Cricetulus griseus: one gene and its partners. The protein of the gene in region 3 interacts with the protein of the main gene of each other region in a biochemical or structural test. Links are inferred from orthologs where the notes say so. Each region holds a gene or a part of one and is shown on either strand. Other genes may lie near its edges. The genes, in order: Cdc25c, Ksr1 and Mark3.

What was found.
Region 1: of the proteins of Mark3 (region 3) and Cdc25c, one has a biochemical effect on the other in vitro, tested with the Homo sapiens proteins (3 studies listed by BioGRID, with this or other methods). The link is inferred for Cricetulus griseus from reciprocal best matches to the Homo sapiens genes MARK3 and CDC25C.
Region 2: of the proteins of Mark3 (region 3) and Ksr1, one has a biochemical effect on the other in vitro, tested with the Homo sapiens proteins (2 studies listed by BioGRID). The link is inferred for Cricetulus griseus from reciprocal best matches to the Homo sapiens genes MARK3 and KSR1.

What each region holds. Positions count from the first base shown.
Region 1 is NC_048595.1:202,741,122-202,751,157, reverse strand, and holds the start of Cdc25c (M-phase inducer phosphatase 3), read right to left. Parts: upstream 6,683-10,036; 5' UTR 6,477-6,682; intron 6,121-6,476; exon of another isoform or gene 6,117-6,120; 5' UTR 6,084-6,116; coding exon 5,902-6,083; intron 4,174-5,901; coding exon 4,079-4,173; intron 2,248-4,078; coding exon 2,202-2,247; intron 388-2,201; coding exon 354-387; intron 105-353; coding exon 15-104; intron 1-14. UniProt on the Homo sapiens protein: Functions as a dosage-dependent inducer in mitotic control. Tyrosine protein phosphatase required for progression of the cell cycle. When phosphorylated, highly effective in activating G2 cells into prophase.
Region 2 is NC_048600.1:92,561,362-92,571,476, forward strand, and holds the start of Ksr1 (kinase suppressor of Ras 1), read right to left. Parts: upstream 5,692-10,115; 5' UTR 5,459-5,691; coding exon 5,228-5,458; intron 1-5,227.
Region 3 is NC_048598.1:182,459,209-182,469,357, forward strand, and holds the start of Mark3 (MAP/microtubule affinity-regulating kinase 3), read right to left. Parts: upstream 4,785-10,149; 5' UTR 4,652-4,784; coding exon 4,214-4,651; intron 1,605-4,213; exon of another isoform or gene 1,472-1,604; intron 1-1,471. UniProt on the Homo sapiens protein: Serine/threonine-protein kinase. Involved in the specific phosphorylation of microtubule-associated proteins for MAP2 and MAP4. Phosphorylates the microtubule-associated protein MAPT/TAU. Phosphorylates CDC25C on 'Ser-216'.

The DNA of each region.
Region 1 (10,036 bases), on a different chromosome or scaffold from region 3:
CATTAAATACTTACGTTTTCTTTATTTGCAGATAAGCCACGCACTGCATCTTTCTTTCTGTGGCCATGGTCCAAAGCATTTGGAGTACTACAGAGAAGCTGCACCTAAAAGACATTGTCTACTGAAGGCATCCAATATCCATTATCTATACCGCCAGCTGGGAACCCTGTCTCCCACCTGAGAAACAAACCCACAGTCAAACAAACCATAGGGAGAGTCTCACCTGGGCCTGGTGACATATGCCTCAAGTCTCAGCACTCAACAGTGCTCCAGCCCAGCTAGCCAAGCATGGTGAGACCCTCTGTTAAAGGGAAGGAAGAAAGGTAGGCAGGTGGGTAGGTTGGTCTACCTACTGGGATGCCTTTCATTGGGTCCTGGTGATGATTCCTGTAGAGTAAAACAAAGACAAACCAACTAGTCAGGTAATCCCCAAACAGTTTGGTTCTTCAGTGCTTAGGAGCACCCCAGTTCTTCCTTTCTCCTATTCAAGGAGCACTAGTTTTTGTTTATTTATCTCTTTCAACAACAATATGCAGGGTATTAAGTTCACCAGCAAAACCAGACAGGATAAATAGGTACCAAAGGGAGTTTGCCTTACATCTCTTATTCCTGTTCTGGTGCTAAGGATGGAACCAAGGGCCTTGTATAAACTAGGCATTCAACCAGTATACACCTGCCACTCCTGTCTCACATCTTACACAGGAACAATCTATGACTTAGTACTGTTCTAACACTGATGACAGGAGGCTCTTTTTAATGATTGAATTTCTACCTTTCCTCCATTTCCACCCAGAATATACAACACAGGCTATTTACAGTAACCCAAAGCCAGGCCTGTGGTCTACCACTATACTATAGAACCAGCATTCAGGAGGCCGAAGTAGGAGTTCAAGGTCATACTTGGACTACAATGAGACCCTGCCTCCAAGAAAAAAATATAAAAGAGAAAAATCAGTCCAGGTGGTGGTGTCACAATCCTTTAATCCCAGCACTCTGGAGCATGTTCTGAAGAGTACCAGGACAAGCCAGGGCTATACAGAGAAACCCTGTCTTGAAGAAAAAAAAAGAAAGAAAGAAAGAAAGAAAGAAAGAAAGAAAGAAAGAAAAGAAAAATCAGTTCAAAGACAACATGAACAATGCAAGTGAATTTTTACACATGTTCCTAAAAACTGCCATAGAAAGCTTTTAATAAGTTTTGATTTTTTTTTTTTTCTGGTTTTCCTAGACAGGGTTTCTCTGTATTGCTTTGGAGGCTGTCCTGGAACTGCTCTGTAGACTAGGCTGACCTTGAACTCACAGAGATCCATCTGCCTCTGTCTCCCAAATACTGGGATTAAAGGCCTGCACCACCACCACCACCACCTAGTATCAATTTTGAAAGGGTTGAATTGAAATCAGTTTTTATTCCATGTACACTCCCAGCTAAATATTTTAGGATCTCCAAGAAATACTTCATCATAGTTATAACAATAAACATAAAATGCTTGGTATTTGCTAGATACATATTTTGTTTTGTTCTTTTTCTTTCTTTTTTTGGGGGGGTGGGGGGAAGTAAGAGATGGGAGATGGTGTCTCACACAGCCCAGGCTGGCCTTGAACTCACAATCATCTTGCCTTGACGGCTTGAGTTCTGGAATTACAAATGTAAACCATATTACCTGGCTATGATTAGTGTTTGTTTTTATTGTTGATTTGAGTGGTGTTTTGTTTGTTTGAGACAGTGTCTCAGGTGGCCCAGCCTTCTCACTTTTAATCTTTTCAATAGCTGTTTACAGAGCACCACTGTTATCGCATGTTATAAAGAAAGAAAGTTCGATCCAATGGGTTAAGAAATTGGGTCACACCCAGCTGTTGAAGTAGTAAAGCACCAGAACCTAGACAATCTTATCCCTGAACCTGTATCCTGAGCCACTAAAATACGGCACCTCTCACGTGTAAGAAGAAGCCCTGGCATGAGTGCAGTATACCATTTCCCTTCACGTAAAAACAAGATATTTCTGTGTATGCTGGTTTAAAATAGCCTGCATTTCACAATGCTATTTAGAACTAGAAAACTTAAAAGCTGTCAAGTGAGAATCTAGGCCTCCAAGCCCACTAATATCCCAAGTGAAGTACTTCACAGTCTGCAGAGTCCACATAGGACAACCTGTGGTTGATGAGGGAAGGCTCAGGCATGCAGACTATTTAACAGCAGAACTTACTTCTCAGCTAACTGTACATCCTGAGGTCCTGAGGAATCCAAGGAACCTGCAATCAGTTATGAAGAATAATGTGCTGAGCATGCAGCTTACTTGGCAGTTTTTGCCTAACGTGCACAAAGTCCTAGGTTCAATCCTCAGCACAGCATAAAAGCATGGTGAGCACCGGGCGTTGGTGGCGCACACCTTTAATCCCAGAACTCGGGAGGCAGAGGCAGGCGGATCTCTGTGAGTTCGAGACCAGCCTGGTCTACAAGAGCTAGTTCCAGGACAGCCTCCAAAGCCACAGAAACCCTGTCTCGAAAAAACAAAAACAAAAACAAAACAAACAGAAAAACCACACACACACAAAAGTGCCTGTAATTCCAGCACTTAGGAGGTAAAATCAGGTAAATCAGAAGTTCAAAGGCTACAAAGTGGGTTTGAGGCCAGCCTGAGCTACATGAAACTATCTTGAGCCAACATCTTCTCCCCTCCCTAAGAAAACAAACAGAGGGACTGGAGAGATGGCTCAGCAGTTAAGAGCACTGACTGTTCTTCCAGAGGTCCTGAGTTCAATTCCCAGCAACCATATGGTGGCTCACAATCATCTTGAATGAGATCTGGTGCCCTCTGCTGGCACGTAGGCAGGAGACTGTATACATACTAAAAAATAAATAAAATCTTAAAAAAAAAAAAAAAAGAAAGAAAGAAAGAAAGAAAAGAAAGAAAACAAACAGAAAAGGAAGTGGCTACTCGGGAATCTCAACTTAAAGCAAATATTAGAATGGTCTACTAGCAAAACTTTTTTTAGACTCAGAAACACACACACACTCGGAGAGAGAGAGCCCAATTAGTTGACAAAGTATTTCAAAGTGTTCGGAGGGTACTGGGGATTGAATGAAGGGTCTTGTAGAACAAAGTATTTCTTTAGGCCAATTTCTTTGCTTCTACTGAGATCTGAGACTAAATTGAGATATAAAAAAATATTTACTGTACTTTCATCTCCACCATTAATCAATCAGTCAACAAAATACATTCCTTCCTTGAAGAACTTTTTCTTTCTTCCTTTCTTTCTTTCTTTCTTTTTTTTTTTTTGGTTTTTCCGAGACAGGGTTTCTCTGTGGTTTTGGAGGCTGTCCTGGAACTAGCTCTTGTAGACCAGGCTGATGTGGAACTCACAGAGATCCGCCTGCCTCTGCCTCCCAAGTGCTGGGACTAAAGTCATGCGCCACCACCGCCCAGTGAAGAACTTTTTCTAATACATAACAATTTTTTTTTTTTAAGTTTGTTTGAGACAGGGTTTCTCTGTGTAGCTCTGGCTGTCCTGGAGCTCACTCTGTAGACCAGGCACTACCACCATCCAGCTACATAGCAATTTCTATTACTGTTATTTTCTCTTTCCATTTATCGTTCAACTAAAAAATTAACTAACCTCAAAATTTTAGGCAAATGTTTTCTCTCAGGATTTTGGGATGTAGTAGCGCTGGCTGGCCTCAGCCCTCCAAGTGCTAGGCTTACATAAGCTAATACACCTGATTTTTTAACCTATTTTCACCATCTTCAATTTTTATCCTATTACCTTGTCCTTTCCTCCTTCCTTATATTTGTAAGTCTTAGTGTTTAAAGACGGAACCACCTCTTCAGCCTAAGAGATGGCTAGCAGTTAAGTGTACTTGCTATTCTTCCAAAGGATCCAGGTTCCTTTCCGAGCATCCATATGGTAACTCATAACAGTCAGTAATCCCAGTTCCAGGGGATCCAACTCGCAACTATACTCTGATCTCTGAGGATACCAGGCATGCATGTGGTACACATACATGTAAGCAAAAATATTTATACACATAAAAGTTTAATAAAAATCTTAAAGTTAGTTTTCTCTTTAAAGACTGTCCCCCTACCTGTTTCATCAAAGTCAGCAGAAGTGGTAAGATGAGAAGCAGACATCTCTCCATTGCTAAGATTTGAAAGATCAAGGCAACGTTTTGGGGTTCCTCTGTTGAGACATAAAAATATATCAAGATTTCCATTAGGGAGTACTATCCTAAAAAAGGTAGAGATCATGTCTTCACTCTCAATTACTACCACAAAGATCTAAACAACATCCAAATAAATCTGCTATTTGGAAATAGCTCAGATTGGGCTGAGAAAAGCAATCCCCTACTTTTTTCTCTATTACAGTAATGTAATCCCAGCACCAGGGAGGCAGACACAGGTGGATCTCTGTCAAGGTCAGCCTGGTCTTCAGAGTGAGTTCCAGGACAGCCAGGGCTGTTACACAAAAAAAACCTGGTCTTGAACAAGCAAAAAAACAAAAAACAAAATCAAAACAAAAACAAAAATGTGAGACTAATTTTCTTCTCACCAACATATGGAGATGGGATTTATTTAATGAGAATCTAAAGGGATCTTTTTATAATTTTTACCACATTTTTTTGTATGAGCACATACTTGTGTGAAGACAACTCCAGGAGACAGGGGCTCTAACCTGGGCCCATCATGCTGAGCCATCTCACCTGCCCAGTAAATAGGATCTTGACCTCACATTCTCTACCCCGTTCACCCTGAACACAAATTCAATTTCTCCTCGGAATCTCTACTATTCCTCAAATCCTGTTTGCTACGAGGTGTAAAGACAATATGACTAGACTCTAAAGTACAACACTAAAACTGATACAATTAAAGTGACCAACTCATAAAACATAATAATAGAATTTTCAGAGTTCTTCATAGACATCACATTGATTCTGGCATGACAGGAAAAGATTATTCCTGTTAAGATAGAAAATGATTTTTCTTATTATTATTTGTTTGTTTGCAATAAGGCCTCACTCTGGAGCCCACTAGTTGTCTTGAAATTTACTAGTAGCCCAGGCTGAACCTGTGGTCATCCTGACTCAGCTTCCAGAAAGGTGAGATCAGAAACATCCTCCACCAAGTCCCATTTAGAAAAAGACACTTACGGGGGGGCGGGGGGGCCCTAAAGAGATGGCTCAGAGGTTAAGCGCACTGACTGCTCTTCCAGAGGTCCTGAGTTCAATTACCAGCAACTACACAGTGGCTCACAACCACAATTCAATCTGGTGCCCTCTTCTGGCATAAGGTAGAACAATGTATATGAAATAAATAAATCTTTAAAAAAAAAAAAAAAGACGTTTTTTATTGTTTGTTACATGGAAAGGAAGCCCAATGTGACTCAAAAGAGTCACACATTCAAGGTCATGGCTGAGACAAACCCTGAACCTCGAAACAGTATAATTCTGAAAACAAACCTGTTCATAAAACCAAAGACAAGGTATAAAACTAAAAGTTAATTTACCGGCTGGAGTGATGGCTCAATGGTTAAGAGTTTGCTGTTCCCCAGGGTTGGGGTTTGCCCACGCCCTTAATCCCAGTACTCCGGAGGCAGAGGTGAGAGGATCTCTGAGTTCAAGACCAGCCTGGTCTACAAGAGCTAATTCCAGGACATCCTCCAAAGCCACAGAGAAACCCTGTCTAGAAACAGCCCCCCCCCCCAAAAAAAAAAGCTTGCTGTTCTTCCAGAATACTGCAGTTAGGGCCCCAGCACCCACTTAAGGCAGAGTAACCACCTATAACTTCAGGCAGGTACAAAACTCTGACCCTCTGAGACCACCTATAATCACAAACACATACCCACGTTTGGAACACACACACACACGTCTACACATCATTAAAAAATAAATCTTTAAAAAAATAAATTTACCCAGACAAAATGCTTAGGTTTGTCGAGTCGAGAAGTTTGTCTCCTGGAGATTTGGGGAAATCTGGGAAAGAAGTGTTTCTTTCCAAAAGTAGGTTTAACATCTTCCTTTGATTGGACCTAAAACTGGGTGCTGAAACAAAACTTCCCTCTTTTCTTGCAGATGGAAAGGGTCCTGTAGACATGACTTCGGAGTCTTCACGGAAGAAGAGGGGTGGCTATCTAGGAGAAAAACACTACAGATACTCAGCTTTCCCAACCTCTCCGCCCTTTCCAGTGCCTGCCTAGGCCCGGGTGGAGGAGCACCCCCCAAAAGGATCCCCAAAGGATCAAGTATAACACGCTGGAATGTCACACTGCTCAGGGCAAAAATTTACAGAGACCTGGCAAGCTCAGGCCTTCAAAGGAGGAACGGAGAGAAGACTGGCTTGATCCGGATCGTTCAGCTTCACACTCTTGGCCAGAAGAATTGGATCTACCTAACGCGATAAGGCTATTCGGACCTCCGGTCCCCGCAAGAACCCTGCAGGGACAATCGGGTGTCCGAGATTCCCGAACGGACACAGCTCTCGGCTTACCTTCAGTTTAGAGGCAGATTTGAATTTGGAGAAAGAAACTCCTGCAGAACTGGACGGAAGCGAAGACTCCAGCGAATGAGAAGGAATCTGAGGAAGAGAAGAGGGTCTTCGAGTTAAAATGGTATCTAGTTAGCTCGAGGTCCAGATTTGCTGCTTCTCTCCGGAATTGGCAGAAGGGCAAGACCAACAGCCATAGGCCTGACCATTCAAACCTTCCGCTCTCTCAACAGCCTATCACTGTCCTTATGCCAGTAGCGTCAGCCAATCAGCGTGCGAGACTAGGACCCTGCCCCCTTACCAATCGCTAGGGTCGTACCTGGTCGACTAGGCATCTCCGCCACACAGAGAGTCTGATGCTCATTGGCTCTCCCTCTGGCCAATCGTCACACCCTTCAAGTACTCAATTCCCCCAGCCCCAGCAACCCCGGGAGATTTGAATCGAGCCCCGCTAACGATGACGGTCTGGAGGAACTATTCTTGCGTGAAGTGTTTTCTTCTCCTTGCTTCTTTCTCGCGTCGTTTCTCTTGAGTTTTGTTAGCTTTCGGCTGGAAATGGAGCATTTGCCGCCAGTGTGGCAGTTGTTGGGGCGTGGCAGGTGTGTATTGATGCTGAGCCGCCCCTGACCCATTCCAAGAGGTTTTCTGGGTAGAAATTCCTTTTCAGGGAGAGTAGGAGAATTGAACGTTTTGACGTAATCCTCACGACATTCTAAAGGATCTTAAACTTTGGCTATTTGTGCGGCTTTGAACATTAACAAAATTGTATTTATATGTGGGGAGAGGTGTGGTTTCATGCTTGCAATCCCAGCACTTGAGAGAGTGCGAATAGGAGGACAGAGTGAGCTCCAGATAACCCGGGGCTAGAGGGAGACACTGCTAGGAAGAGGAGGAGGGGGGCAGGAGGAGAGTTATTATGGTAGTGGTAGTGGGGGTGGTAATAGGAATGGAATCCAAGCCTTGGGAACGCTGGACAACTACTGTCATTTAGCTGATACTACCCAGTCCAAGATTTTTTTTTTCTTTTTTTCCGAGACAGGGTTTCTCTGTATTGCTTTGGAGCCTATCCTAGCACTCGCTCTGGCCTTGAACTCAGAGAGATCCACCTGCCTCTGCCTCTGCCTCCCGAGTGCTGGGACTAAAGGCGTGAGCCACCACTACCTGGCTCAAGAAATTAGTTTTAGACTTATTTTTTAATTGTATGTGTGCAAGTTGGAAGGTCAGAGGCAATCCCTCAGTACTGGAGTTACTGGCAGTGTGAGCTGCCCAACATGGGAGCTAAAAAAACCAAACTCTGCAAGAGCCATACATGCTCTTAACCACAACTCTCTCCAGGCCCTGAGCCCGAGAAATTCTTAGGTTGTTTTTCTTCTTTCATATCTTTTGCGAGTGGGCGTGAGTATAGATAAGATAATTGGCATGACTAGGAGTGACGTCTGGGTGGGAAATTTAATGTACATACTAATCACCTGGAGATCCTGAGAAAGTGGATTCTGATTCAGTAGGTCTGGGTATGAGACCCCAGGGCCATACTCTTGAGAAGCAAAGCATTAGGCTGTACTTTTTGTGTGTCATTTATCTTAAACTTGTCTTCAGCTTGAAATCCCTCCACCTCAACCACTTGAATTCTGGGATTACAGGCATGTGTAGTCATCCAGTTTCCTGCACTCTGCTTCAGAATAGATTTTACTTTTTTTCTTTTCTATAGCTTTTTTTAAATTTCATGTATATTCATGTTTGCCTGCATGTAAGTCTGTGTGAAGGTATCAGATCCCTGCCCTGTAGGCACTGGGAATTGAACCTAGGTCCTCTGGAAGAGAAGCCAATGCTCTTCTGTTGATCCATCTCTCCAGCCCCTTTTCCTTTTCCCCTTTAATGGCTAGTTGAAGCACGATCTTGGCATATAGCTCTGGTTGGCCTCAAACTCATGATTCCCCTGCCCAAATCACCTAAATTCTGAGATTACAGGCATGTGTCACCACACCTATCTTGAAATTTTTCATAATTAAAATTTATTAAGCTGGGTATGGCAATGCCCACTTGTAATCCCAGCTCGGCAGAGGCTGAGGAAGGAGAATTACCAGTCTTCACTACATAATGAGACCCATTATCAAAGAAAATGTGGGGAACTTGGGGGTGAGAGCTTGCAGTCTAAGCCCTTGAGAGGCTAGGGGAGGAGGCTTGAGACAGCTTCTTGGTGTAGCTTTGGAGGCTGTCCTGGAACTTGCTCTGTATACAAGGCTGGCCCTGAACTCAAAGATCCGCCTGCCTCTACCTCTAGAGTGCTGGAATTAAAGGCGTGCACCACCACTGCCTGGCACGAAATGCTTTAACATAAAACCTTAGGAACTATTTTAAGTACAGACCAATAGATATATAGATTATGGCCCAGGAATGATCAAGGCTGCCAGGTGCTACTGGTTTGCAGACCACTTTTTAAGAAAAGTCAGAAAAATAACCTTTAAAGCTGGATTTGAGGACCAGAGAAATGGCTCAGTCAATAAAGCATTTGCAGAGCAAGCATAAGGACCAGATTTAGATTCCTAGAACCCACGTAAATGCTAGGTAGTATGATGACCTGCCTGTTATCTTAGCCTTCAGGAGGCAAAGGCACCTGGAGCAAACTGGTTAGTTAGACTAGCCAAATCTGTGAGCTCTGGGTTCAAGTGAGAGACCCTACTTTAATATACACCAACCAAGGTGAAGACACCAACCAGGCGGTGATGGCACACGCCTTTAATCCCAGCACTCGGGAGGTAGAGGCAGGCAGATCTCTGTGAGTTCGATACCAACCTGGTCTACAAGAGCTAGTTCCAGGACAGCCTCCAAAGCCACAGAGAAACCCTGTCTCGGAAAAAAAAAAAAAAAAAAAAAAAGCAAAAACAAAAACAAGGTGAAGACACCTGCCTTCAGTCTCTGATCTAATGCACAAGCACACATATGTATCCACACATGTGAACAGACATACTCATACACACCCCACACACATATGAAAAGGAAAAAAAACAGTGATGGTGGTGGTGTATACCTTTAATCCCAGCATGCAGAAGGAAGAGGAAGTTCCAAGACAGGTAGTGCTTTTACACAGAGAAACCTCATCTCATACTCCCCTCCCCCCCCCAAAAAAAGCTGCACTTGGCTCACTCCTGCAATCTCAGAGCTTTGGAGGTCAAGGTAGGAAAATCATTACAATGTGGATGCTAGTTAATTTCAAACCACCAATCAGGGCTATGGGAAATGGGAAATACCCTGTCTCAAAACAAACCAACCCAAACCTTTATCTGCCATGAGGGTCTTGGTGGTGACAGTGGCTGAAAGATGCAGGATATTCATCCTGTTTCTATATTAATATCCTTTTATCTGCAGAAACTGCTCCCCCAGAAAGGGGGTGTGTAAAAAGTCTTTGTCCTCTAGGACAGAGATGGTAAGTGTGGGAGTCATCACAGAGCCTTGTCATGCCAGGTAAGTTGGAAAATAAGGCTGGGATTTAAGGGAGTATGAGATGTGTTTATTTCTGCTTTGATGGCTATAGTCATACTTTTTGAGGCACCGTCTACTTCTCT
Region 2 (10,115 bases), on a different chromosome or scaffold from region 3:
TCGCATGAACGCTGGTACAGCCACAGCCAGGAGGTGTTCCATCCTGGCTCCAGGTCCTGGTCCATGCACCCCAGCCTCCAGGTCCTGGTCCATACATCCCAGCTCTCCTTGGCCCACAGCCTTCACAAACAGCATATCCTCCTTAGGCCTCCTCTGAAGGACATTTGGGAAGTGGATCCATCCAAAGTAAAAGTCACCAAGTGAAAGCAAACACCCTCTGAACTAAATGTAAAAATGGGACTAGACAGTCTGCCCTGGGAGGACATAAAAAAAAAAAAAAAAAAAAAAAAAAACCAGCTTAGGGGGTTGGCAAGATGACTCAGGGGAGTAAAAGGGCTTTCAGCCAAGCCTGATAACCTGAGTTCGATTCTCTGAACCCACATGGTAGCAGGAGAGAAATGACCAGACAGACTTGTGCTCTGACCTCCCCAAGCATGCTGTAAATAAACAAATGTAATGAAGAGCTTTTAAAGTTCAGCTTAAGGACTCAAGGTTTTGTTACCCACACATTTGCAGACACTGTCAGTGTCACCTCAGGCCAGCACCTTTGTGCATGGTCCCTCTCTGGACTACAGCCAGCAAGCAAGCAGGGAAGCATCTGGTATGGAATGCTGCTTCCCAGGATTATGAGCCAAACCAGGTGTCTGAGAGAAGAAACAGCCCTGCAGCTAGGAGGTGTTCCGTCTCTATCCCAGGCAGCAACCCCGGCCTCCAGGTCCTGGGTGCAGATGCAATAAGGTCTCCCTCCAGCACTCCAGCCCTGCTTGGCTCACGGCCTTCACAAACAGAACCTCCTCCTCAGGTCTCTTCTGAGGGACAGTTGAGAAGTGGGTCTGCCCAGGTTAAAAGTCACCAAGGTGAAAGTGGACACCAAAAGAGACAGGCCCTCAGCTCCATGTCCGTTTGGTGATAACTGGAGTTTCTCAGGCAAAAAGGTTAAAATGGAAGCAGAAATGTCACTCTCCAGACACTAGCTGGGTTAGAAAAAGGAACCAGGTTCTAGTCACATCTTTCTTGGGACATCTGACTTGAGAACAGCCACCAAGACTCTGGCAATGTTTCCTACAGAACCAGTAAGTCAGACTGACTGCTTCTACGATATTCCTAACTCAGGGCCCACTTGAAAAAGCTCTCGGCCAGTCATGGTAGTGGAGTCCCTGCTGTTCACCTGTCTGGTTACCTCTTTAGATGAAACATGCCCCTCACATCCAAAGACCCCACCTACCAGAGTCCAGCTAGGATTGCCATAAGCAGTGATGGAGGGCCTGGTCAGTGAACACATCCCTCCACTCCTGGTAGTTTCACTGGGTACTTCAGGTGCCATGAGGAAACCAGGTCCTAACACCGAAGAATCTGAACTCTGCCTAGCACAGACACAGCAAAGCCTCCTGGGTAACTCTGCTTCAGGGCAACTAACTGCTCAGGGAAGTGGCCAAAAGCAGAGACTTTACCCATAACTTTTTCTGATAGCCCTTCCCCAGAAAGGACTCATGAGCAAAGCCCTTTAGGGACCCTATGACCAGGATAAGATACTGAGTCAAGGCAGAGACAGCTTCTGGGAGGCGCTACAGAGCGCCGACAGAGTGAGCATGCATCTGCATTGTACACCACTGTCTCCCCAGTGCAGAGACGGAGCCCACAGGGACCCACAGATGGCACCAGCAGGTCCAGCTGTGCAGCAGGCCAGGTGTCCCTCCATGCGCACAGCTCCCACACCCCTGGCTTCATGTAGTAATCAGGCCTCTAGAGGGGCTTCCAGAAACAGGGCACCAGATGACAGGGCACCTGATGACACAGCCCTGCAACCTCATTCCAGAAACACTGAGTTCTGGTTGTGTCTCCTGCCCTTTCCATTTAGACAGGGGAAATGTGTGTGATGAGCTCCAGGAGATCCTAGAGGTGAAGAGGAGGTCAGCACACAGCTGGGCAGGTAGGAAGCAAACATTAAATCTTGACTTCTTTCTCCTCCTTTTAAATGCAGTATTGGAGATTTAAACACAGGGCCTTATATATACAAGGCAAACGTTCTACCATGGAGCTACACTACACTCCCCACCCCTTTTAATTCCCTTTTCAACCCAAGTCATACTGCTCCACAGAGCAAAGCCATCAGCAGATAGCATGTCATCATGATCTGGGATCTTCACAAGCCATCTGCCCCTGGTCAGGGGCCCACGGGGGACATCCCACAAGCTGCCTCTCTCAACAGGAGTTTAGCTAAGGAGGGCCAAAGTGGGCTGGGCCTCTTGAGATTCTGCCAGAAGTCTGACATAGCTGTAAAGGACAAGCTCTCCAGTCAGACACCTGTGATCCTAGCACTCAGGAGACAGAGTCCAGACAATAGCCATGAGTTTTCAGCCTAATCTATATCCTGAGTTCAGCCAGGGCTATATAAGACCTATCTCAAGGTTACACACAAACACACACACACACACACACACACACACACACACACACACTCAGAAATCTGAAGCTAGACAGGTGGCTCAGCAAGAAGTTAAAAAGAATTTAGTGCTCTTGCATAGGATTCAAGTTCATTTCTCAGCACCCACATGGCAGCTAACCTGCAACTCCAGTTCCAGGGCATCTGATGCCCTCTTCTGGCCTCCTCGGGCTCCTGCACACATGTGGTACACATAAAGTCACACACAAACACATTTTTAAAAAATCAGAAATTCAAGAGGGCAGTGAAACTGTCCCAAGTTATTTGCCTTTCTACATGCTACAAGGCTGCTCTGAGCCAGCCTTCTGGGATTGCTTCCTGCCCTGTGCCATCACCTGTGGAAAATGAATTCTGTGTGCTGCTTCTTCTAAAGGTACCCTGTGCATGAATGTCAGCAGACCCCAACCAGGGAAAGTTTATAGGCAGGTTTTTGATAGCAGGGCAGACACAGACTCCATCTAACACAGGCGAAAGGACTCCATCCCCACTCTACAGATGGGAAGTTTGAGAGAAGTTATCAGGCTTGCCCAAGGTCATCTAGACAGAAACAGGACCAATTATAAAGCTGTGTGGGCCTTCTGTTCCCTAGCACTCCTGCGGTCAAGATGCTCACAATAATAAAGGCATCTCCTACACAATCTGTCCAGTACATCTGGTTTTTAGTATTGTTCTTAAACAGGGACATCAACATAGAATAGCATACACAAATGTTTAACTCAATCCAACTGTATACACACACACACACACACACACACACACACACACACACACACACACTCTAAACCACAGAATGCAAAGCTTTTCAGAAACAGCCTGAAGGGAACCACTCCAACCTCATCCAAGCAGATGGGGAAGCTGAGGCCCCAGGGATGATGTGATTCACCCAAACTAGCTGGTAGCAGTCCTGGGGAACCAGCTCCAAGGTCAAAATCCCCATGAAATGCCACCTAAAGTCCTGTCTTTTCAGGGACCAGAAGGGTCCTTCAAATACACTGCAAAGAACAGGGCACTTGTCCTGCTCATTCTGCAAATGACCCTTGGGCCTTTGAATGCCACCAGGGTTGACCTCACAATGCACACAGTGGGGAGGCTGCTGCCTAACCAGCTCAGGGGCCTGAACAGCTGGAAACTCTGAGGTATCCTAATGCCACAACTTTGTCAAAATGTGCAACATTAGAAGACAAAGAGAATTTGCAGAGAATACAAAGTAAGCCATTCTACATACACCCTGGGATCCAGGAGCACCTCAAAAAGACTTGAGGAGGACCACAGAGGCTAACACAGAGAACATTCTCTCCACCCAGCAACACAGCAGTTCAAAAGACATACACTGCTGGACAACGACCCCGGAACTAAGACACACAGGCCTCCTATTGTATCAGCTTAAAAACTGAACTATGTGGGGCATACACACTCAGCTGTGTTCAAGAAATCCACATGCAGAAAAGCCTGGTGCAGAGCTTTGTTGGTTTGTTTTATAAGCAAAGCCCTGGTCAGTCCTGCTATAGCAACTATAACAAAAAACAATAATAATAGCCAGCACTGGTTGGAGTCTCCCAACGTCCCTGGCTTTGTGGCTTTTCTGAAAATACAGCTAAGGGAGTCACCCTGAGCATTTTGGATCAAACAAGGACTCAGGCTTGTGGTGTGAGAGAAGGGTGGACTGGTCTTGTAATAATTACAGCAATTACTGGCTGGCTCTATGACATCTGGCAGATGCATTTAGCAATGGTGTGTGTGTGTGTGTGTGTGTGTGTGTGTGTAAAATCACATATCTAATAAAAACAGACATCCTCAGACCTACAGAAGCACAGATGTGGTAATGCCAGGTAAGAAAACGTCCTTCTTCAGGGCAGACCTATTAACTGGCCCTTCACTTTCAAAGGTCTCCCAGTCCCTGGAAGCAAGCTGGGAAGGCACTAGTTTTTCCTCCAATGTGTAAGGGTGGGGGAGCTCTCCCTTCTGAAATCCCAACCACCTTGCTGGCTGGTTCTTCCAAATCCTCTTAATGCTCCACTTCCCAGCTATAATTTGACAGAAGACAGCTCACACATCTTATTTTTCACTGCACTCCAGGTCATCACTATCAGCAACCCCCTCAAGTAGTGTGTTCTTACCAAAGGTTCCCTTCACCACTATAATCTTTCCTAGGCCAAAGCCCGATGTTTCAGGCAGAGCGGGGAAATCAATGGGTAATTTCATTTTAAGCAGTGAACCGTTGTGACATCGCGAAAGAAAAGCACTCCAACGCCTGAACAGCAAAAATGCTGTTTCAGCAAACAGTTTTTGAAAAGCGGCAGACAAGACCTGATGGAAAGGAAAGGAAAGGGCAACGGGACAAGGAGAGTGGGTAGTGAGGGAAAGTCAGTGCCACCGGCCGATGCTCACACTTCAGGGGACGTCCCTCCATCACCCCAGCCCACGCTACCGGGCTTAAGCACACCGAGAAAAGTCCAGCGCGTGATTCAGTGGGACAATGACTACTATGGGCACTGGAAATGGGGTGAGGGTGGAGAGGGGTTTGCAATGGGATGCCCGTGAACATCCTTGCCCACACGCGGGTCCTCGAGCCTGGACACAACCCCCCCCCCAACACCCCTTCCCCCAAATCCTTCCAAAGCGAGAGCTGGTCGTATGTCCTCATGGCACAGCATCAGCGAGCTCAGCAAGGGAGGAAGACTCTAGCCAGCAGACCCGGCTGCAGGATGCAACTCGGGAAGGAAAGCAGCGGGGCGGCTCCCGGGGCACAGCGGGATCGGGACCACGGGCGCCGCGGCCCCTTACCTCCAGGGTCCGGATCTCCTGCTGCGTGAGGTCGTTGGACACAGAGCACTTGGTGCGCAGCCCGCGCAGACTGCCGATGGAGATATCGATGAGCTTCTGCAGCTGGCCGCACTGCTGCAGCGCCCGGCTGGCCGCGGCCCCTGCGCCCCCGTCCGCGGCCGCCGCGGCGCCCCCGCCGCCGCCCTCCTTCTTCTCGCCCATAGTCGCCGCGCGCAACGCCGCTCTATCCATGCCTCGGCATCGGGGCCGCTGGGGGCCGAGGCGAGGAGCCCGGGGGCACGGGCGCCTCGGCGGAGAAGTCTCAAGCCGGGAGGGCTGCACTAGGAGCGCCCCTCGGCGCTGCCAAAGCCAGAAGTCTTGAAAGCCAGGCGCCCAGTCCGCTCCTCCCGCCGACCAGACGCGGCGGCAAAGTGAAAGCCTCCGCGACCCGACGGCTGCGGTTGCTGGAGCCTTTAAGCGGCCGCGGGGGCCGGATCGAGACCGCGGGGCATGCTGGGACTTGTAGTCCGCGCCGCACCATCTGCCTCCAGGCCCGCGCCCTCGGGGCCCCGCCCGCACTCTGGCCCCGCCTGACGTTTAGGAGGGGCTGCTCTGCGCCTGCTCCAATTCCTGTGGCTCGTGGTCTTGGGAACCCGGTTCCTCATCCTCCTCAATTCCTTTAACCCCCACCTCCCACTACTACCCACTTCTCACGCATGCAACCGCACACACGTTAGTAGCTTCCCACCACCGGTGAATAGGGTGGGGCAGGGTCTGATGGCTTACACCCAGATGAGCCCTGTAATGTGGGATATTGAGGGTCCCAAATTTTTGCGGGAGCTTAGGGACCTCCATATAGGGGAATATGCTAAGAATGTAGCTCAGCGGCAGAACATTTGCTTGGCAAAGATAAGGCCTTAGGTTTGATTCGAGGGAAAAGAAAAGGACACTACCACCACCCTACACACACACCCTCAACTAGTTCTCACAACACTTGACCCTGAGTTGTGTTTGGTTCCCATAGACTTTGACCCTGAATGGTCTATACCAAAGTAATGGACAGGCAAAGAGAAAGGACTTTCTTCTGTATTCTATTTACTCAACAAATAAGTTTAACATCTAATACCCTGCAGATGACATGTGAGCAGCACATCAATTTGTTAGACATTCCTAAGAGTTTCCAAGCAGATAGAACCTGAGTTCAAATTTGGTTCCCACTACTCCACTGCCTGTTACATGAACTCGGACAAATGGCTTTTCATTTCACATTAGATGAGGTAGTAGCCACCTAACCCAGGTTTCTAAAACAAGGAGGTTATGTTTGCACAGCACTCAGATTAATTACTGGCACGTGTGGCCATGTATAAACGTTAGCTCTTTTATAAACTCAGACTTCCTGAATTAGACCCTGAGCAAGCCTTCAGTGGCCACAGCAGCAGTATTTCCCAGGACTTAAAGATCCAGCATTTAAGCCTCATCACACCTGTTCACTCTCCTATTAGTCCGTCTCATCTACCAATGTAAAAAAGGAAAAACGAAGCAAAGTGTGGTGGCACACATGTTTAATCCCTGAGCTCCAGAGGCAGAGTCAGGAGCCTCTCAGTGAGTTCAAGACCAACCTAGTTTTTACATAGTGAATTCAAGACCAGCTTGGGTTATATATCTAGTCAGGTCTTACCTCAAGAGGGGAGTGGGGCAAAGAGATAGCTCACCAGTTAAGAGTACTTGCTCCTGCAGAGGTCCAGAGTTCTGTTTTCAGAACCTACATGATGGCTTACAACCATCTGTAATTCAAGTTCTAGGGGTTCTGAAGCCTTTTAACTTATGCAGTCACATACATGCAGGCAAAAACACTCATATATATAATATAAAATTAAGCAGCTATGAGGTGGTGGTGCATGCCTTTAATCCCTGCACTCAGGAGGCAGAGGCAGGCAGATCTCTGAGTTCGAAGCCAACCTGGTCTACAGAGAGAGCTCCAGGACAGCCTCCAAAGCTACACAGAGAAACCCTGCCTGGAAAAATCAAAAGAAGAAGAAGGAGAAAGAGAAGGAGAAGGAAAGAAAGGAAAAAGTAAATAAATACAATAAAAATAAAGTAAAATTAACCTAACACATCAAAACTATCACTGACAGCCAGGACTGTTTCACAGAGGAAATCTTGTTTCAGAAAAACAAAAACAAAAAACAGTCACAGTTTCAGCGACGTGTGGTAGCTCATGCCTGTAATCCCAGCACTCTAGAGGCTGAGGCAGGAGGACTCCTCACTTGAGACCAGCCTAAACTATATAGTGAGACCCTGTCTCAAAGGACAATGATGATACAGCAGTCCTCACTCGGCATGAACAAGACCCCTGTGCTGTACTGACAAATCCCCCAGCCCTGACAACTACCTTAGCCCCACTTCAGACCCTGCATTAGAGAAATGACTACCCTGAAATAAAACTGCAATGGTGTTTTTCAAGCTTGAACAAGCATCACAGTCAACTGGAGGACTTGCTCATCCTCCAATGATAGCCCCAGAGCCTGTAGTTTCCTGATCTATAGATCCAAGCCTGGGCCTTGAGAATTTGCATTTCTAGCAAATTCTTGGGTGGTACTGATGCTGCTAGTGTGGATACCATGCTTTAAGAAGCCACAGTGCAGAAAGTGGATGGGCTGGACTTCTCAATCACTCTTCACCTTATTGTTTTGAGGCAGGATCTCTCACTGAACCCCAGGGGTAGCCAGTTCTGCTAGTCTAGCTTGCTAATGAGCCTCGGGAATTACAGGCATGCACTGCTATCCCACCTTTTACATGGAGGTTAGGACATCAAACTTAGGTCCTTAGGATTGCACTTTACCAAATGAGACATCTCCCCAGCTCTCAGGCCCACTTTTTTCCCCCATACCCTGACAAAGACCCCTGCTGTCCTACAGCCTGTGGCATTCATGACTACCCATGCCACTATGACGTCAGCAGCAGGGCTGGAGACTAGAAAAATGTCAGCCTCTTGGCTGCCATCCTTGAGCACCTGACCACATGTGCATGTGCATACACACACACACACACACACACACACACACACACACACACACACACACACACGAGTAAAAGTAAAAATAAATCTAAATTAAACACATACACACAATGTAATGTAGGATGCCACCAAGAAGCATGGTATAGTAGCCCAGACTTGTCAGCACAGTGCTAGAGAGGAAAGTGAATCCACTGAAGGTCAGCTTCAGAGTTCTGTGCCCAACCTCAACTACGTGAGACCCTGTCTCAAACAAAGAAGCTTGGTTCTGTAAGCACACAAAGTGAAAGTCATATATATGTTTATATAGTGTATATTTACATGTCTATAATATACATAATACAAGTATATATTTCAATATATATATATATATCTTGCTTCTGCTATATTTTTTATTTTATTTTGCAAAAAAGCTTAAAGAAAAAAAAAAGGAATCCCTCCATCTGCAGCATGAAGAGCAAACCGTAAAAGACCAGGGCTGAAGCAGCAGCTCCCGGTTTTGAGACTCCTGCAATGGTCAGGGCTGGAGAGAGGAGCCAAGGAGGAAAAGGAAACAGCACACATGCTGGAGACAGACTCAACAGGTCAAGCCTGTGGGTGGAAGGTGAGATAAAAGATAAAAGATAAAAGTGCTCATCCTGACAGTGGCACTATCAGGGAAGTGCTACCCTGCAGCCAGGTACAGGCTGTACCTCAGGTTCACATCTACTTTCCTGGCAGTCACCTTCCTGTCAGCAGTACAGCAGGAGCAAGCAGGTTTCTGCTGAAGTCTAGGCTAACACACCCAGAGCTGGGTTTTCTGGATGCCATTTTCAATCTAAGAAATATGTGCATCACTTGGATGCAATCTTCAATGTGAATAATGTGCTCATCATCCTGGAGAGGTGCACTTTCTTGGGGTTTGTTTGATAAGAAAGTATTAGCCTACACTTACATAGTGTAGGCTGGCTTTGAACTCACCATGTAGTTTCTAGGTTGGCCTCAATTTTATAGTGATCCTTTTATCTCAGGTTTCTGGGATTGGGTATGGCACCATACTACTGTGAAATGCCTGCCTTCGTTTGTTCGTTCCTTCCTTCCTTCCTTCATTCTTTTCTTTCTTCCTCATACATACTAAGCAAACACTCTTACCATGGAACTGAATGCCCAGCCCTTAGGTGTTTGTATATGTCTATGAGTGTGGTATGTATGTAATGTGTGCCCAGTTGTATGTGTGAGTACCTGGGACTGTGTGCATATTGACAGAGGCCAGAGGAGGATGTCAGGTGTCATGGTCTGCCACTTTCTGCCTTATTCCTTTGAGATAGTCTCTCTTTAAAAAAGATTTAGATTTTTTTATTTATGTGTATATGTATGACACGTATGGAGGTCAGAGAGAGGTTTTGGAATCCATGAAGCTAGAGTTCTAGACAGTTGTGAGCTGCCAAACGTGGGACTCACACTCAGGTCCTCTGGAAGAGCAGCAAGTGTTCCTAACCACTAAAACATCCTTCCAGCCCCCAAGAAAATCACTTAATGTACCTCAAGCAGCCAGGAAGCCCCAGAAGGAATTCTGTCTTTCCACCCCCACCTCCCATGCACAGAGCTGGGGTTACAGGTACACATGGAGCCACACTTAACTTTTCACATGAGTTCTGGGAATGGAACTCAAGGCCCCCATGCTTGCACAGTAAGTGCTCTCACCCTGTGAGTCATAGCTCCCCAAGATGCACTTTCTCTATTGTTATTACACATGTCTGTACTTTCCTCATCCCGTCCATGCAACAGATATTCACTGGGGGGGGGGGCAAAGCCGTGCTCAGCATGGGGCCACATTCTGGGGACACAGCAGGGCTAGTAGAATCGTCTCTCCATACCTTCAGGGTACTGGCTCCAGGACTTTCTACAGATCCC
Region 3 (10,149 bases):
TGGTTCTCAGGTGTTCAGTACACCCTCCACAGCACAGCTTCATAGGCTGCTGTACGCATTCCAATTTGTTCACAGGTTAATGCAGTGTCACCCAATCAACAGCTGGCTAGACATCACCTCCACTAGTTAAGTTCACAGAAGTAATGATGTGACCATGCTATACTAACTGCTGAACACCTGATGTAGCTGGTGTGGTAGGGCACACCTTTAGTTTGAGCATTTGGGGGACAGAGGCAGGAATATCTCTGTTTGAGGCCAGCCTGGTCTATATAGAGAATTCCAGGACAGCAGAGGTTGGTTCTCAACCTTACGAATGCTGTGACCCTTTAATAATACAGTTCCTCATGTTTCGATGAACCCCCAAAAATAAAATTATATTTGCTGCTACTTCATAACTGTAATTTTGCTACTACTATGAATCATAATGTAAATAGTTTCAGAGTCAGAGGTTTGGCAAGTGGGTGGAGACCCAAGGTTGAGGACCACTGCCACAGAGACATTAAACAGTAAGTAAATATCTAGAGCTGTTAACTAGCAAACCTCTACCTCCAGTCCTCTAGCAAACAATCCAGGCTTAGAAAGTGCCGAACGCTTTGAAATCTAAGTGAAAAATTCATTTCTAATTTGTCAAATATAAAAAGAGGATTTACTAAACAGATCTCTATGCAAATCAACTATAAAACATAAAATGAAAGCTAAACTTTCTTTCATCTTTAAAAAGCATTCTATTTTTGGGTCAGAGAGATGGCTGAATTCTTATGAAGTCTTGTAGACCCAGGCTGAGTTCACAGCACCCACACTGGGTGACTTACAACCGCCTAAAATTCCAGTTCTAGGAGGCTGGACATATCATCTTCTGGACCCAAATGTTTAACTAGTTTTTCTGAGCTACAGTGAACATTTATATTCCTATCCATAAAGATAAATAGTAATGTGGAAATCAAACACCTGAGAAAAGAATAGTGTATATGGCCGGGTATTGGTGGCGCACGCCTTTAATCCCAGCATTCGGGAGCCAGAGGCAGGTGGATCTCTGTGAGTTCCAGGGCAGCCTGGTCTCCAGAGTGAGTGCCAGTATAGGCTCCAAAGCTACACAGAGAAAGCCTATCTCGGGGTAAAAAAAAAAAAAAATAGTGTATAAGGAGGGAAAAAATATTGTTACAAATTATCTTTATTTATTTTTACACTACAGATAAAAGCCAAAGCTTCTTAAAAGCTAGGATGCATCTGTCCACAAATTTAATCTCAGCACTAAAGAGGCAGAGGCAAGTGGGTCTCTCTGAGTTGAGGCCAGCTTGGTCTACATAGGTAGTTCCAGGCCAGCCAGTTATATGGTGAGACATACTCTCAAAAAGAAGCCCCCACCAAAAAATAAAAAAGGCCAGGCAAACACTATACTTACCAAGCTACACTCTCAGCCCCATTTCTTACTTGATTCAATGAACAACTTTTTTTTTTTCTTTTTTAGATTTTCTGTTACTTACGAAGCTCCTACACCCAAGACACTGAACTCCAGGGTAAGCAATGGCTGCAAAGCATTAATTTATGCCTTTTTTGACACCACATTCACTAGTGACCAAAGGTGAACAGGCAACACAAAGGCTAGAACAGTATTCTTAACACAAGTGAATATAATCATTTAAATTTAAAATGCCTAGGATGTCTTTTGACACACACACACAGCTGTTCTAGTCATAATAACCAATGACCACCATCAGGTAAAAGAATTTTTTAAAAAATCATGGTACATCTGATGAAATATTAACAAGCAATAAAAAGAAATGAACTACTAGTATACTTGAAAACACAAATCTCAAAAGTATTACTTGCCCAGACAATGGTGGCGCACGCCTTTAATTCTAGCACTCTTGAGGCAGAGGCAGGCACCTCTCTTGAATTCAAGGCCAGCCTGGTCTACAGAGTTGAGTTTCAGAACAGCCAGGACTACACAAAGAAACCCTGTCTTGAAAAACCAAAACCAAAACAAAACAAAAAGCAGCATGCAAACCAAACAAAAAACATTATGATAGCCAGGGATACTTAAGTCAACCCTGTCTCAAAAAGAAAAAAGAAAAGGCAGGAAGGCCTGCAAGGCATTATGTTACGTGGATGAAGTCATCCACACTAGTAATGACAGCACTAAAGAGGAGGAAGCAGGGGGATGAGTTTGAGGTCAACCTCTGCTACACTGTGAAACTGTCCCAATTTTTTAATGATTTATTTATTTTCATCTTACATGCATTGGTGTTTTGCCTGAATGTATGTCTGTGTGAGAGTATTGGATCCACTGGAACCAGAGTTATAGACAGTTGTGACTTGCCATGTGGGTGCTGGGAATTGAACCTGGGTCCTCTGGAAGAGCAGCCAGTGCTCTTAACCACTGAGCCATCTCTCTAGCCCTGTCCCAATTGTTTCTTTTGTTTGTTTTGTTTTGTTTTGTTTTTTTAAGTTACACATTTTATGGCCCAACTTACAAAAATAAAAAGGTAAAGCTATAGGGTCAGAAATGAGATCTTTCTGGGAAATGGAAATGTTCTGTATCTTTAACTGGTGGTAGCTATATGACTGCTCATTAGAACGTCCACTTAAAAAGTGTTGATGGACTGGGGAAGTGGTGGCACACGCCTTTAATCCCTGCACTCGGGATACAGAGGCAGGCAGATCTCTGTGAGTTCCAGGTCAGCCTGGTCTACAAAGCTACACAGAGAAACCCTATCTTGAAAAACAAAACAAAAACAACAACAACAAAAAAAAAAAACAATGATCAAAGCCAATCAATCAATTTACTTGCTTCATTTTTGAGGTAGCAATAGATTATGATGATCAATCAGGTCAAAGGTAAGTTTCCTCATAAGAATGTAAAAAAGGTCTCAGGATTCGAGCCTGATTCTCAGCTATGGGGAGAATGAGGCAGAAGGCTCCCTGGAGCAGCCCAAGCAAGAACTATGGAATGAAGAAAGGAAGGCAGAGAGAGAAAAAAAAAAAAGAGAGAAGGAAAGGGGAAACGGGGAAGATGGAGGAAGAAAAGAGGAAAGGTCTAATTTAAGCTCTCTTAACTAGGTAATTTTCTAACCTATCTCAAGTGGAAGAACATACAATTGTATATTGATATAATACAGAGATGACTTCGACTAGGGGCTACATAAACAAATTACTCAGTAGCTATCAAGCTCCAAGTGGCATTCTGAAGATTAAAATGAAGGTACCAGACACCACTAGGTCACCGTGTCTAAGGATGGCGCGCAAAGCATGAGTACCGGGGAGCACGGAGGCTTTTCCAAAGAGATGGCATTTTCTTGCCAGCGGTTACCTCATAGCTCTGTATAATGAAAGGCCAGTGAAGTTTCTTTACAAGTTATTTGCTAAATGCTTTACAGAGCACAAAGCTGGGCCGGAACACTTTGGAATCCAATGAAAGGAGAAGGGTTCAAGACAACACACTTGGGCAGGTCTAACATTTCTTCAATACGACTTCTACACGTTTGTCACTCCCTACTAGCAACGCTGTTCCTGGCTGCTGTTTGATTTGTTCCTGGAGGTCCTTTCGAACAAAATTCTTTCTTTACATAGATTTGCTGGGTGTGCACGCTGGAATGGGCCTGAGAGCCTCTGCAGCAGAAGGAAAGGCCAGCTCAGTGGGTGTCCCTCAGCTGGGCAGCAGGACAGAGCAGGGCAGAGCAGAGCAGAGCTTCACGCCACATCTGCCTCTCGAAACTCTCAGCCTACTGCTTCCGAGCAGACTTAAGATTCGCCAGGACGGGAAGCTACTCCTTGATAAAGGCAGCGGCTCTCGAGCACAGACAGCTACTCTTCTGTCTTCGGAAGCTACGGGGGGGGGGGGGCACCAGGCTATCTGTCTGTCTCCCTCTCCCCCGCGTGGGGCACTTAGTTTCAGCGGTTGTCATTTAACTTGGTCCCATTTCAACGGGCCGTCCAGGACCCCGACTGCATCCCACCATCCTACCCACCCAGGACAGGCGGGCTCTGAGGCCGCGCGGTGCACGAGGAGAGCCGGGTTCGAACGCGCCCCGGCCGCGGCCGGCAATGCTCAGCCGACCGTAAGGAGGGCGCGCAGGCCGCAGGCGCGCGCGGCAGGACGGGGCTGCGCCCTGAGCCCCGCCGGCAGCGTCTGGCCTGGGTGGCCCCTGCCTGCCTGCCTGCCACCCCGCCCCGAGGGTCCGCCACCCACCCACCCACCCACCCGCTCACTCACGTTTTCAGTGTCTCGTTCATTCACCGTTGGCAAAGGGGTCCTAGTGGACATCTTACTGCGCTTTGACTCCGCACAACGCCAAGGCGAAAACAAAACCGCCCAGCTCCGGGCGCCCGGCGAGCAGCGGCCGCGAGCCTCCGGGGCCTGGCCTCCCCGGCCGGACTCTAGATCCCCGGCCTGGCCCGGGCCGTGCGCCCGCGGGCCCCGGGGCTCATTCTCCCCCAGCGCCGGCCGGCGGCCGCGGCGAGGAGCCCGGCGGAAGGGGGCCGCCTGGCTGGCGGGCGGGCGGCGCAAGCCTCCCGCAGCCGCGGCGCCGCGGAGCTCAGCCCCGGGGCTCCGCACAGCGCGGCCGGCGGCCCCTGAAGAGGCGGCGGCGCAGGAGGACGGAGCGCAGGCGAAGCGCGAGACAGGCCGCCGCGGCCTGCAGGCGCCGACCATGGAGGGGGCCGCGGAGGAGGCGCCCACGCCCTGCCGCCTTCCCTTCTCCGCCCGCTTTCCGCCCGGCCTCGCCCGCCGGCTGCCGCCGCCGCCGCCGCCGCTGCCCCGGCACCTCAGGAGCCTCACAGACCCAAGATGGCCGCCCCTCGGCTTCCTCCGCGGCCTCCGGCTGCCGGAAGTGACGCCGCCGCCGCCGCCGCCGCCTGGAGTCCCGCCAATCAGCGCGGCGGGAGCGAGTGCCGGCTGCTGTTGCTAGGGGCGACTCGTCCCGTTGGTTCTGAGCCGGAGGTGCGGTGCCGAGCGCGCAGGCTTGGTCCCTGGCGGCTCCAGCGGAGTTCCAGCGGTCCCGAGCGCCCGGGCATCCCCGACCGCTCCGGGTGGGCCCGACGTTTACAGAGCCCTGACCCCGGCCGGCCGCATCACCACGCCTGCAGATGCTGCTGTTTGCAGAAGCTCAGTCCGCTTTCCCCGGGCCACGGATGCAGCCAAGGATGGAGCTACCGCATCAGCAGTCAGTCACAGGCCTGGCGGAGAGCGCAGGAGCCGGGCCCCTGCTCCACAACTGAGGTGTCCATCGAGCGTCCAGTCATGAACCCGGCCCAGCCGAGTCCCCGCGCGGATGACAGAGTGCAGAGACCAAGGCGGCGGCGAGAATGGCATGCGAACTCGAAGACGCACCCAGGGATCCATAACTAAATGCCGGTAGGGGCTTGTACCGCAGTGTTTCTCTGTCCCCCACTCTCCCACCGCTGCCTGTCTCCCTCTTCCCTCTCCACTCCTCCTCTCGCTCCCCTCCCTCGCGTTCCCTTCCTACTTCCCTCTCCTGCTTGAGCCTCCAAGACAGTGAGGTTGCTATAGGCTTGGGCCGGGCTGAGTGACCTGCAGCCGGAGCTCTGAATAGGCTGGTCTTCTGGAAGCCCTCCTCACCCTGTCACCTCAATGTCTTCTGAGGATGGAATCCATTGGTACAGAGAAAGAGGGCCTGTGTAAGCTGTGTAAGCTGGGGTAATGCAAAGCGCTACTCATAGCCCACCTTGTACTGATTATTCATTAAGCCTCAGGGTAAGATGGGCAGACGCAGTGTGTGATCTAAAGTCTGGACAAGTTAGCTACTTAACTAGATCATCTGTGTTGGTTATAGTAGAAGGACCTAAACCCCATTCCTACAGCTTTAGAAATAGGTAGATTTGTGAGTGACTATACTTGGCTTTGCTTTCTTTTCCTTCTTATGTTTTGCTTGCTTGCTTTGGTTTTGTTTTTTGTCCCCAGCATCCCAATGCCTTGCTGTATCTGGGACATTTCCTTCCTCGTGAAACACAGACCTTTAAACACCAGTATCACTTCCAGAGAGGTCAGGGGATGCCGATACAAAACAACACAGGGTTAAGATACATTCAGAACTCCCATCTTGCCCTCCTAGGGTGGGGTGTGTGTGCTCAAGGGGACCGGCCGACCCTGTTTGAAATGTGACTCTCTTTCTCCCTTTTTGGTCAAGCAGAGACCTGCAGTGGCATTCCTCTGAATCAAGCGTTTGTTCCACACAATTCAGCTGAAATGTAGATTGTGATAACTGGAAGTGTGCTCCAGAGCAGGGAGGCCAAGTGTGGGCATCCAGTCTCACTGGGGGTCTGGGTCAGGGGAAGCCTATAGAGGGCATGCTCACTCTGAAGATGGGTTGATGGCTGGCTACACAGAGGCATGGCGGTGAGGAACGGCAGGATGGATTCAAACACAAAAAGGGCGAGCGAGAGCCAGGTAGATTTAGACAGCATGGCAACAGGTCTCCCCTCAACCCTGATGAATTCTGGTGATTCAACATTGTTTCCTGATAAATTGAGGAAAGCCTCCAAAAGGTTGTCAGCCTCAGGAAGGGGCTTTGGAAAAGCCTGTGGACACTGGAGAACATTCCACATCGGCCAGAGAAGTAACTGGACATGTGGCCTCCCCCAGGGGGATTTGCTCATTTGTGCTGCACATTAAACAGTGAGTCAGTGAATGCCAAAGGTGAGGAATAACGATGACAGCACTTAACCTCAAGGTTAGTATTTCCTAGTTTTCATGAAGTTTAAAATTGAAGACCCAGAATTGTAAAGGCTCAATAAAGACCTGGAAGTGAGCCGGGCATTGGTGGCGCACGCCTTTAATCCCAGCACTCGGGAGACAGAGGCAGGCGGATCTCTGTGAGTTCGAGACCAGCCTGGCCTACAAGAGCTAGTTTCAGGACAGGCTCCAAAGCCACAGAGAAACCCTGTCTCGAAAAACAAAAAACAATAAAACAAACAAAAAAAAGACCTGGAAGTGGCAGGCATGCTTGTGATTCATGAAAAGGAAAGGAGAGGAGCTCCAACAGGGCATGAGGAGGAGGAGAGCATTGCTCCCCCCAGAGGAACGCATGTGCTCCTGAACTTTGTGCATCTGAGATCTATCTGGAAAGGATGGGGCAATTAGACCCTAAACTGTTGTTAGAAGACACCTTGCTTTCCCTTTCAGAATTCTTGTTTCTTGCCTGGTTCTTCTCCCCTTTATTTATATATTTATTTAGATGGTCTTGCTGTGTAGCTCAGTTTGGCCTCAAATTCCTATCCTCTTTCCTCACCACCCCCCATGCTAACATTTCAGATGTACAACCGTTTGTTTCCTGTCTTCCTGTTAAAGCAGCACCTACCTTGAGCACCGTGACAAATCCATTGCAATTCGGAAATGCACTCGGGGCTGGGGACATGGCTCAGCAGTTGAAGCTCTTGGTGCTCAAGCAGAAGAATTAGATCTCCCAAAGTCCACAAAAATCCCAGGTGGGCAAAGCAGTCTTGAAAGACAGGATCGCTCTTTGGTCTAGAACTCCCCACCATTTAGGCTAAACTAGCTGTCCAATGGGCCCCAGGGATCTGCCTGTCTCTGCCCCCTCAGGCCTGGGATTACAAGCACAGACCACCACACCTGGCTTTTTTTTTTTTTTTTTTTTTTTGAGACAGGGTTTTGGAGGCTGTCCTGGAACTAGTTCTTGTAGGCCAGGCTGGTCTCAAACTCACAGAGCTCCGCCTGCCTCTTCCTCCAAAGTGCTAGGATTAAAGACGTGCGACACCACTATTAAAAAAAAAAAAGCGGCCATACCTAGCTTTTCTTAACCTGGGTTCTGGGGATGAGACTCAGGTCCCTGTTCTTGTACGGCTAGCACTTCACTTTCTGAGCTGTCTGTCCTGCACTTGGGAGACAGAGACAGGAGGATCTCTATGAGTTTGAGACCAAGCTAGTGTAGAAAGTTCCGGGCCAGCCAAGATGACATAGTGAGACAATGTCTCAAAAAGGGAGGGGGATGCTAGAGAGATGGCTGAGCAGTTACATGTACTTGCGACCCTTGTAGAGAACCTATGTTAGGTTCCCAGCACCTTCTGGAACTCCAGCTCCAGGGGATCCAATGCCCTCTTCTGGCCTCTCAGGCACAAGGTGTGCACACACACGCGCGCACACACACACAGTCAAAACACACTTAAAATAACGTTTTAATGTCATGTCAGGACAATTTAATGATAACTAGTGACAATAGCAACACCATCAAGTTGTGCATGCTCTACACCACAATTCTGTCCTAAATATTTACCCTCAAGTGTGCAGAACAGAGGCTGGCAAGGCAGCTCATCAGATGAGGGTGCCAGCTCCAACCCTGTCAACCCAACGGAGGAGAAAAATGACCCCTGCAGGTTGCCCTCTGACTTCTGTGCCTGCCTTGGCTCTTATGTGAATAGACACAAATAAATAAATAAATAAATAAATAAATGTAATTAAAGACTTTTAGTTATTGTTTCTTTTTTTGTTGTTTGTGGGGTTTTTTGTTGTTGTTTTAAATGGTTTTGGTTTTCTGAGAAAGGGTTTCTCTGTGTAGCCCTGGCTGTCCTGGAACGTGCTCTGTAGACCAGGCCAGCCTCAAATTCATAGAGGCCAGCCTGCCTCTGCTTCCCGATTAAAGGTGTTCAATATAATGCCTAGCTGATTTTAGAAAATTTTAAGTGAGCTGGAATGATGGCTCTTACTGAGGACCAGAGTTGGGGCTCCAGTCGTTATTTCAGGCAGCTGACAACTGACTGGAGCTAGGGAATCTGACACCCTCTTTTGTCTTCCACAGGCATTGCGGGTACATGCACAGACCCACACATAGACACACATGTATGAACATTATTAAAAGTAAAAAAAAGCCAGTGTGGTGGCTCACCTCTTTAATCCCAGTACTCAGGAAGGAGAAGTAGGTAGATCTCTGTGAGTTCAAGGGCAGCCTGGTCTACAGAGTGAGTTCCAGGATAACCAGGACTGTTATACAAAGAAACCCTGCCTTGAAAAACCATAAAAAAATAAATAAAGTGACTGAATCTCAAGAACACAATCTGAGGCTGGTAAATTGGTTCAGTGGGTGAAGTCCCACGCTGCCAGACTAGACGACCTGGTGCCTGCCTGCACAGTGGAAGGAGAGGCTGACCCCTGCAAATTGTCCTCTGACCTCTATGCATTCTGAGGTTTGCTGCCAGCTGCAACGGGTGGGATGAAAGTACAAAGCCCTCAGTGGTTCAGTCTCACAACTTGGTAAGTCTCTGATCTCAAATGGGCAACTCCAGATGAGGGCAGGCAGGACAAGAGGGAGCCCAAGAAGTTGTCAGGACAGATTCTGTTCCTGAGGCTAGAATACCTCCTCTCCTGTGGTGTGACCTCAGACATGAGCTGTCTGGGGCTGGCCCTCTGAGTCAGCCCTGAGTCCCACCTACACGCCTTCCCCGTGGGGTGTCAGGACTCAAAGCCTTCTTTCAGAATGAGGCCAGGAGAACCAAGGCTGTAATGTGACCAAGTACAGATGAATAATTGGTATGTTTAAATATTAATAGGAAGTAGCCTTTGTAGCCAAGGAAATTCAAAACAGATTGTCATAGAACAAGCTCTCTAATCTAGACCCAAGTCAAACAAATAGAAAATAAGAAAACCCTCGAAACTCCTAAATCTCCTTAATGATGGAAACCTACTCAGAAGAAATCCTACTTTTATGTAAAAGTGATGTCATAAGAATCAGTTTCAGTCTCTGAACATGGCAGCACACACACACCTTCCATCCCAGCGCTTGTGAAGCAGGAGAGCAAATGTCTATAGTTCAAGGCCAACCTGTTCTACACAGCAAATTCCAGCCCATCCAGGTCTAAAGGGGGAGACCCCGGCTCAAAACAACAACAGAGACCCACCAAATTCTTCTGAGGTTTTTTTGAAGGGCGAGGGGCAATAATGGGAACCAACCAGAGCTTTGTTCATGCTGGACAAATAACTGCTCAGCCACTGAGCTATAGGTCATCTTGTTTAGGCCAGGCTAGCCTTGAATTTCCATTTATCCAAGGCTGCCCTCAAACTATCTGGTTTAGTTTCATTTCTGTTGTTGAGATAAAATATCCTGGGAAAAGACATCTTCAGAAAGAAACGGTTTATTTTATCTTACAATTCCAGATTATAGTCCATCATTGTCAGGGAAT